Arabidopsis thaliana: one gene and its partner. The protein of the gene in region 2 interacts with the protein of the main gene of each other region in a pairwise test. Each region holds a gene or a part of one and is shown on either strand. Other genes may lie near its edges. The genes, in order: VAMP721 and AT2G23830.

The links.
Region 1: the proteins of AT2G23830 (region 2) and VAMP721 interact in a two-hybrid assay, tested with the Arabidopsis thaliana proteins (one study listed by BioGRID).

The regions. Positions count from the first base shown.
Region 1 is NC_003070.9:1,330,966-1,335,619, forward strand, and holds VAMP721 (vesicle-associated membrane protein 721), read right to left. Parts: upstream 2,687-4,654; 5' UTR 2,462-2,686; coding exon 2,272-2,461; exon of another isoform or gene 1,766-2,271; coding exon 1,624-1,765; intron 1,545-1,623; coding exon 1,424-1,544; intron 1,235-1,423; coding exon 1,172-1,234; intron 1,036-1,171; coding exon 892-1,035; 3' UTR 501-891; downstream 1-500. Other genes in the region: CTF18 (P-loop containing nucleoside triphosphate hydrolases superfamily protein), read right to left, coding at 1-121; VAMP726 (vesicle-associated membrane protein 726), read left to right, coding at 3,795-3,984, 4,367-4,508, 4,598-4,654. UniProt on the Arabidopsis thaliana protein: Involved in the targeting and/or fusion of transport vesicles to their target membrane.
Region 2 is NC_003071.7:10,141,427-10,145,450, reverse strand, and holds AT2G23830 (PapD-like superfamily protein), read right to left. Parts: upstream 1,984-4,024; 5' UTR 1,806-1,983; coding exon 1,754-1,805; intron 1,628-1,753; coding exon 1,557-1,627; intron 1,471-1,556; coding exon 1,389-1,470; intron 1,283-1,388; coding exon 1,167-1,282; intron 1,069-1,166; coding exon 940-1,068; 3' UTR 737-939; downstream 1-736. Other genes in the region: AT2G23820 (Metal-dependent phosphohydrolase), read right to left, coding at 2,779-2,849, 2,934-2,975, 3,068-3,184, 3,297-3,407, 3,488-3,525, 3,610-3,734. UniProt on the Arabidopsis thaliana protein: May play a role in vesicle trafficking.

The DNA of each region.
Region 1 (4,654 bases), on a different chromosome or scaffold from region 2:
CGTCGATTGGGTAAGGATATGGCGGCTCCTCAAAGTTTAGGTACTCATCTTCTTCTTCGTAGAAATGAGAATTGGCTTCTAGAAGCTCAAGCTCCTCCGGCAATGGGATATCGAATTCCATTCTCTGATATGATTGACCGTATCGGAATTTTGTTGGGATTTGGTGCTCGGTGAACAAAAGTGAAAATCGGAATCTGGTGTGAGCTTGAGCGGGAATGAGAGTGTTTTAGCGGGAAAGTTTTGGTTGCAGGATCTCAAATTAGGTTTTACGGCCCATTAAATATTCGGCCCACTTAACTAAAATAGCCCAAATATTTATACCATTGTGACTACAGATTGTTGTTTCTTGACAAGATGCTTCTGTATGTACTACTAAACTCTGTATTGGTTGCTCCTACTGATAGCAGAGTAAACACGTATGTTTGAACTCATAAACGACCCGATGGCCGACAAGATCTACTCAAGCGTTGCGGGAGGAGTTTGAACAAAACAACCTTGGTGGTCGGAATATGACGTACGTATATATATGTACTACCATCCCTAGTAACGATATAGAGAGGGCACTACTCTTATCTAAATTTAAAGTAACCAGCACACATCACGCCGTATAATCGTCAATACAATCTCAAATTTTTATCATCACCACCACAATGCAATCTTCAGTCAACAAAATCATTTAATAGTTTCGGATCTCTTGTCAAGTACTGACTGGTTCGCAAGGGATCAATGTCATCAGATGCAAGCAATATAGCAAATGAGTAGCATACATATATGTCTATCTATACAAAACCAATTCAAGCAGAAACATTAGATTGAAGATCGAACAATAAAAGAGAAGGCACTACGATGTACCGAGTGAGAAAGATCTCAGAAGTTTTGAATTTTCTGGGCTTAACACTTAAACCCATGGCAAACTGAGAGCACGATGATGAGAATCAGTGCGATAATGATGGCGAGCACTATGAGTTTTATCTTCATGTTCTGAAGCCACATCTTTCTTCTCATCTGCGTTCCTGTTGTTCTGAAATCTTGTGCCTGTGGCAGTTTGAGTTCAGTTAGACACAAGATATGGTAATAGGATGAGTCAGCTATGAACTCAAAAAGCATGTTCATCTTTGTGTGTGAGTGTAGGCAAATAGATGCAGGAGATAAGGGTATGAGAGAGTCTAACCTGTGAGCGAAGATTTTCGGTTTTGTCCACCAAAAGCTCAATTTTCTCACCACGGTCAAGAACCTGCAAATAATGAGTCGCATATGTAAGCGGTGTTACATTGGTAAACTGGACATTTCCCGTAAGATGTAATGCATTGAATTATTAGTAATTGATTTCACAGTAACTTAGTATGACTAGATGAGCTCTTTCAGATGGGTCAACCATAGATGTAAATATATACATTGAGGACAGAAAGGGTCAGATTCAAACCTTCTCAATGTTTTCCATCATTACACCCTTAACTTCTGACACTTGCGCCTTCACCTTAGCAAGCTTGCTAATCTCATCAGGATGATCCATGCAATACTGCATATGCTCTTTCAGTTTAGAGCTTCAAAGTTACCAAAAAGAGTCAGTCCACGAATATAAAAGAGAAGATCATCCAAATAGAAGAGATAATGAAAAAGTACCCAAACTCCTTATTCAAGCTGTTTGCTTGAGCAGTTGCAGCCTTTCCACCACCATATCGCTTGTTAAAATCTTCTTTTACTCTTTCCAAAAAGGACATGGGAATTTGCCTCCCAGCAGAATCAACCGCAACAACACAATAGGCTGTACAACAGGAACAAAATCAATCTCCTTGTCTTCCCTTACGGGATAATCAGGTGACATTGATTTAATATGAAATTGATATGGCTACAACAACTAAAGGATAGTCACAAAAGCTTACAATAAGACCCCAGATTTTCATTGAAAAATGAAGCCAGCCAAAACCCATGACCTAGGAAACTATACGCAAATAAAGCAACCAGTAAAAACCCTGTCTCAGATCAATGTTGGTGTTCTTCCACATAGTATCAACCAAAGCTACCACGGATTCTGTCCAAATCTGAGTGATTATACAGGTAAGACTCTACAGAGATTTATTGCGTTTAATAAATATAGATCTAACCCTAAAAGCTTGGTTCATGCGGTTCCTCAGTGAAATCAGACTACTCAGGATGCACAAATCCATACGAATCGATAGGTTAGGCAAATAAACCTAGAAACAAATCGAGGTAAGCACCGAATGGTGTAAGATTAAAACCTATGCATAGATCAAACGAAAAGTGACTTACTGAATCCATCTTCGACAAGGTAATTGAAGGTATGACCGTCGCAGTTGTAGGTGAACTTGTTGTTCGAAGACGGAAGCTTCTGGAGGCACTGAGCAGCGATTGAGGTGAAATTACCTTTGAAATCAGTGAACTCAACGAGGATCACCGTGCCGCGAGCTACGAAACTGTAGATCAACGATTGTTGCGCCATTTTTTCTTTACCTTAAATCTCCGATCCAATCGACCGTCTGATCAGAGAATTTTTTGGGCGGTCGCGGAAAAAAACTACAGATCTAGAAGACTATGAAAGAACAAAACGAGGACTAAAGTGGACATGGGAGAAGAAAAAGTTGAAAAGCGGGCAAGGGTAAAGTTGTCATTTAAGGTAGTCAGATTGGGTCAAAAATAGTATAAAACCTTGAATTTAAGGACTAAAAAAAAACAATTTCAAAACGGAGAGATCAAACAAATGTCGAGAAAGTTGGACCCGCCCGGATCCAGCCAAAAAGCTCGTGGACTCTGCCGATGGCACAAATTAGTAATTACCAACTTTAGGACAAGTTCAGGTCCCATGGTCGAAGAGAGTCTGTCTCTGTCTTCCTCAAAATATCTTTTTTTCCAAATTCATCATTGATCAGTGATTCCAGTATTAGCTCAGTTACGAACAAAAGGCTTAAACATAAAAACAAATGTTGTAATTAACCAAATTTCTTAATTCTTAATGGACGGGGGGAGCTCATAGTCATAGTATCTTGTTACAGCAACAAAATTCGAACTTCTACCGTTATCTCTTGTCATCTACAATTGCTCTGCATTGTTTAGAACCTGCTAATTAATTTGTTTAACGTGTTCCTAAAGATTTTGATCAACAATCAAATAATTGAAATTTAGGTAGTTAGGTTGTGGTTAGAATAGAAGGTTAGTGAATTGGAATGAAAGAAAAGGTTTGCAACATTATTTTAATTTTTTTGGTAGGAAGGTTTGCAACATTATCAATTGAACGTTCTTTTAAGTAACATAACATATAATTTATAGAAAATTTAACAACTCAAATATCCCTTACACATCGCAATTTTCTTTATAAAAAATCAATATATAATATATATATATATATATATATTTGTTTTTTAAAATGCTCATTGATAAACATTTCACATTTGAATTGAAAAACGAGCCACCGTGGTGTAAAAACATGAAGATACTATTATTAATTAGACGTGAATTATTTACCAAAATAAAGTTTATTAAGGCAATTTTCGACTATACAAATGATGAATTTTTCTTTTTATTTACTTTTTATATTTAAAAATTCAAAATTTGAACGTTACCAAAGGGAAAATAATGTCTCTGTTACTCGCGCAAATCCAGCGCTCTCATATAGTTTCTCTTCTCCGATCTCTGCGTCCTGCTTTCTCCATCGCTACCCCTCGTTCCCTTGTGTATTTTTACATCGCTTACTAATCTCTCTCATCAATTCGATCGGATTTTTGTGGTGTTCTTAGGTTTCGTTTTTTTATCTTTCTCTCATCTGGATAAAAGGAAGAATGGGACAACAATCGTTGATCTACAGCTTCGTCGCTCGCGGTACGGTGATCCTCGCCGAGTATACCGAGTTCAAGGGCAATTTCACCTCCGTCGCCGCTCAGTGTCTCCAGAAACTTCCGTCCTCGAACAACAAATTTACCTACAATTGCGACGGTCACACTTTCAATTATCTCGCTGATAATGGCTTCAGTAAGTCTCTATCTCCCGATCTGTGTCGATTTTGCTCTGTATTTCTCTGTTTATGCCTTGGTTCATCTGTTTTCTTATGAATGCTTAGTTTCGAAATCAAATGTTCGAGAACAGTGTAGCTTTGAATTTCGTAGGATATTCGTTGCTCTCGATTCTTGTGGCATTGTGTTATATTCAGATTTTCTTCTAATCAATGCCATGTCTTGATTGGATATGCAATCTGTTGTTTTCGTTCTGATTTTAATCAGCTTTATGCATGGCTTCTTTGGAATGTTTATTGTGAAGATTTTTATGTTTGGAAAGCTTTGGTTGTCCAATGCACGAATTTGCTTTAGTTGGAATGTGACAATAAGATTTCTCATTTCCCTCTGTTGTTATGCAGCCTATTGTGTTGTTGTTATTGAATCTGCTGGGAGGCAGATACCAATGGCTTTCTTGGAGAGAGTCAAGGAGGATTTCAACAAGAGATACGGTGGTGGAAAAGCTTCCACTGCTAAAGCCAACAGCTTGAACAAAGAATTCGGGTACTTTTAACATTTTTAGTCAGAGCATTTCTTTTCAATTCCATCTTTGTGGATGTGTGTTTTAAATGGTTTTGTTGTAATGAATGTAGGTCTAAATTGAAGGAGCACATGCAGTACTGTGCGGATCATCCTGAGGAGATTAGCAA
Region 2 (4,024 bases):
ATTATCCGATGGTAAGATATAGGCATGGGCATAATACCCGGAACCGAATATCCGAACCGAAAAACCCGAAAAATAACCAAACCGAATCTGAATCCGATTTTTAGAATAACCTGAATGGGTCCTCGACTTCACTACCCGAAAAAACTCGAACCGAACCCGAACCGAATCTAATACCCGTGGGTACCCGAATACAAATGTAACCTAAATATATTAGTTATATATATATTTGTAATACCTCAAACACCCAAAATTAAAATTATAAATCCGATTATACTAGATTCTTTTAGTAATTCATATACATTTGGATATATTTGGGATAAAAGTAACAAATGTTATAGTTTTCTTTTAGGTAATTTAAGTATTTTGTTTACATTTGGTTATATTTGTATAAAAAGTAACAAATATATTTACGGGCAATCGGGTATTTCGGGTAGATTTGGGTATATATGAGTAAAAAACCCGAATCCAACCCGAACCCAAAAATATTTTGGGTATTTTTGGTTATTTTTACATTTTTACTAAAATAACCGAACCGACCCGAAACCGAACCGAAACCGAACTGAATTTTTAGAATACCCGAATGGTTCTCAACCTCTTACCCGAATAGACCCGATACCCGGAAAAAAAGAACCGAACCCGAACGGGTACCCGAATGCCCACGCCTATCTAAGATATGTGTTATTTTATTTGAATTTCAAAGGTTTGAGCTATAAGGATATGATTATATAGATGGTCAGTGATGTTTAGATTTTAGTGCATTATATACAAAGTAAACTGGGTCTCATAATTATTTTACAAACAAATTACTGTACAGAATCAATCGAGTTTTACCAGCCGCTATTACGAGCTCGTGGCAAGCAGCTCCAAACGCCATAGCAAGAGACATCGCTAAGAGTGTTACTGGTGATGAATATCGTCAATGAAGTAAAGAGAAAATGTCTAACAAAAACACTGAAATATAAACCCTCTTCTAGTCCTTGGTGAACTAGTGATGTTGGTCGTGGTGGAGCAAACATAAGTAACTCTCAGTTTAGTCTCCTCAACTACATGCCCTGATTCTTTGCTAAACTGCAAAGTTGCTCATCAGAAAAAAACGAAACAAATGCTTTAAGGAACCAAAAGCCAAAGTGTGAATTATTCATCAAATCAACAATGTGAATCAGTACCATCTCACGAGTAACTTCTTTGGCTGTGACTCCAGGACTAGCCAGTACACTTTGAATCATAAACTTTTCAAAGCTCTGCATATCAGAAGGAACTTCCTTTTGAGCTTGCATGGTCACTAGACAAACAACAAATAAAGATTCATCAAATTCCTAGTCCAAGAACAAGTTTGGCAGTTGAAGGGGGAAAAAAAGTTTCCCCAAGAAAACGATTAGAGAACGGACCAAGAACTTTACAAGTCGACTTTGGAAGAATAAGTCCATAATTAGGCCTAACGCAATAGTTGTTCCGATTTGTCGTCTTAACCTCAAATAAAATAAAGAGAATCACGAGAAACCTTAGAAACACGAGATAATCACGACAATTTAATGACTCGGAAAACTTTGTTTTACCTTAAAGGCCACGTTATTGTCTGTCTTGTTCGTCAAGTAAAGAGAGCAAGACATCTGCTTCTTCAATTCAACTACATCAACTCAGCCAAGTGAATAGCGAAATTTAATAGTAAACCATAACTCAACAAAATCTGGTTATGGACAAGAAAGACATGCAAAATCAGGGAAAACAAGAAAAAGTCAAAAAAAAAACTTACAAGGGAATTGAAGATACATAGGCTCGATTTCGAGAAGCTCGTTGTTACTCATCTTGAGAAGATCGCCGGAGATTCAAACTTTTCCGATCGAGAGAGGGAGAGGGAGAGAGATCGAATGAAGAGAGTCGGAAAAATCGTTATTTGTCTTGTTACGACAAGGGTAAAAATTGTCTGTTCAACTAAAACTGAAACATTCTTTGAAAAGTTCCATGTTGAATAATCAGCTAAACCATTTGTTACGACTACTACTATTATATTATTATAAGTTTTGCAAATTAAAACCTCTACCAATTTCCCTTCTCCTTCCGAGTCCACTAAGTAGCTTCTCGCGCAAGAATCATTTTTAAAAAAATATAATAATTTAATTGTAGACTTGTGGTTAATAACATGAACATCGGAAAAAATCAAAATCTTAAAGGTTAAGATAAAAGAAGCTCAAAATCGACAAAAGAACTATGCGGATAAGCGTCGGAGAGAGTTTGGAGTTTTCGGTTGGAGATATGGTTTATTCTAAAATATGTTTTTAAAAAGAAAAGACATAACTACTAATGTTAATTTTGTGAAACCCAATGGTAAAAGGTTTAAAGACTTTTAGACTAGAGAGAAATCTAATCTAAGTGAGGTTAGTAGGAGATCTAAGTGTGGCAGGGAAACTACACTTTATGAAGTGTCTATACTCTATTCGTTATTCTTATTCAACTTTTAACCCGTGCAAAATCTTGAAACAAAACAAAACAAAGAAAAATCATTTGACCTCTATTAACGATCCGAAAATTTATATTGAGGAACCAATGATACTTTCTTAAAATAAAATTTAAGAGCTTGATTAAGTTTTTTGATCTTCATTAGCTATCTATAAGATAGTCACTAGCTAGCTATCTTTTATTAGTGATAGTAACAAAACAAGTAAAGACAGCTACGAAGATTATTAGAAAAACCTTAAGATGATTAAATTTGAAACGTACGAGTATTTGAACTCCACTGAGCTAGACGTTAAGAAACAAAAAGAAAGAGTCAAGTGAGAACTAATGTTGCTTTCGTCTTCTTGAAACAATCTCCGACGCCCAAGCCTTGCCTATATTAGTCTGGAACTTCCCTGAATCAAACAGTAACAAGCTTAAAGCCTTCAACCATATTCAGATTATCTATTTAGAGTATAATGACATACAACAAAAATTACCTGCTGTTGATTGGAAAAACTCTTCTAGATCTTTCCCTTGATCTGCGTTAAATAGCAAACAAAAAACAATATGAGTATTAGTTTCTGCTAAATCTCTTATCGAAAGAGAGTTTCTTTTATTGGTCATTCATTACCTTGTTCATATTCCAAAGCTTGTAGTATCAGCTCAACTTTATCGAAATCTTTAACAACTTTGGCTTCAGGTGAAGAGTTCTCTTCGTATTCTCTCCAAAGCTCAGCGATTTCTTTTGCTGCAATTACGATATATACATTTTTAGAAGTGATGATAAGTGTTATACAAATGAGCATAAGAAGGTCGAACGAAGATACATAAGGTATTTCAACAATAGAAGAGAAACAGACCTCTTTCGCCTCCACCCAAGAGTTTGCACATGTGCTCAAGTGCTTCGCTTTCTCTTCGGTTTTTCTCTTCTTTAGATATCCCACAAGAAGGTGTAATGTCTCCTACAATGGCTGCTCAACAACAACTCGACTAAATAACTCGTGATTAAGAAAATCGATGATTAAAAATCTCTAAAAGTGAAAGAACTAACCTTCTGCAATATCATGAACAATCGCCATTTTCATGCATCTATAGAAAGAAAAGTATGTATATAAGAAGAGTTTTTTCACAGCAGTTGAAACTTGAAAAGAGAGAAGCAAGCAAGAAACTTACTTGTCTCTGTTAACACCGGGGATATCTGAAGAAATTAGAGCCATAAGACCCATCCGATACATGTGATCCGCTATAGATTCTGGATCTTTCACATCTCTCTTAATCCATCCAGCTCTTGGAGTTGTCTATTTGATATAAAAAGATGGTTTACCAAACGATACAGCACACAAACTCTATCGTTAAATCAGCAAACAAAAACTCACTTGATTCACAAAAAAGTAAAACACATGACAAACTTCACATCTTCAAGGATTTAGTAATCACAGACCATTAATCACATAAACTTGAAATCATTTCATTCCCCTAAACGAATTCTACAATCCGTCAACAGATGCAGCCAAGCTTGACAATGTTTCATTTCCGTAACAATCCACTATACATTCCAATACAATCCATTAAGCACGAAACGTTTCAA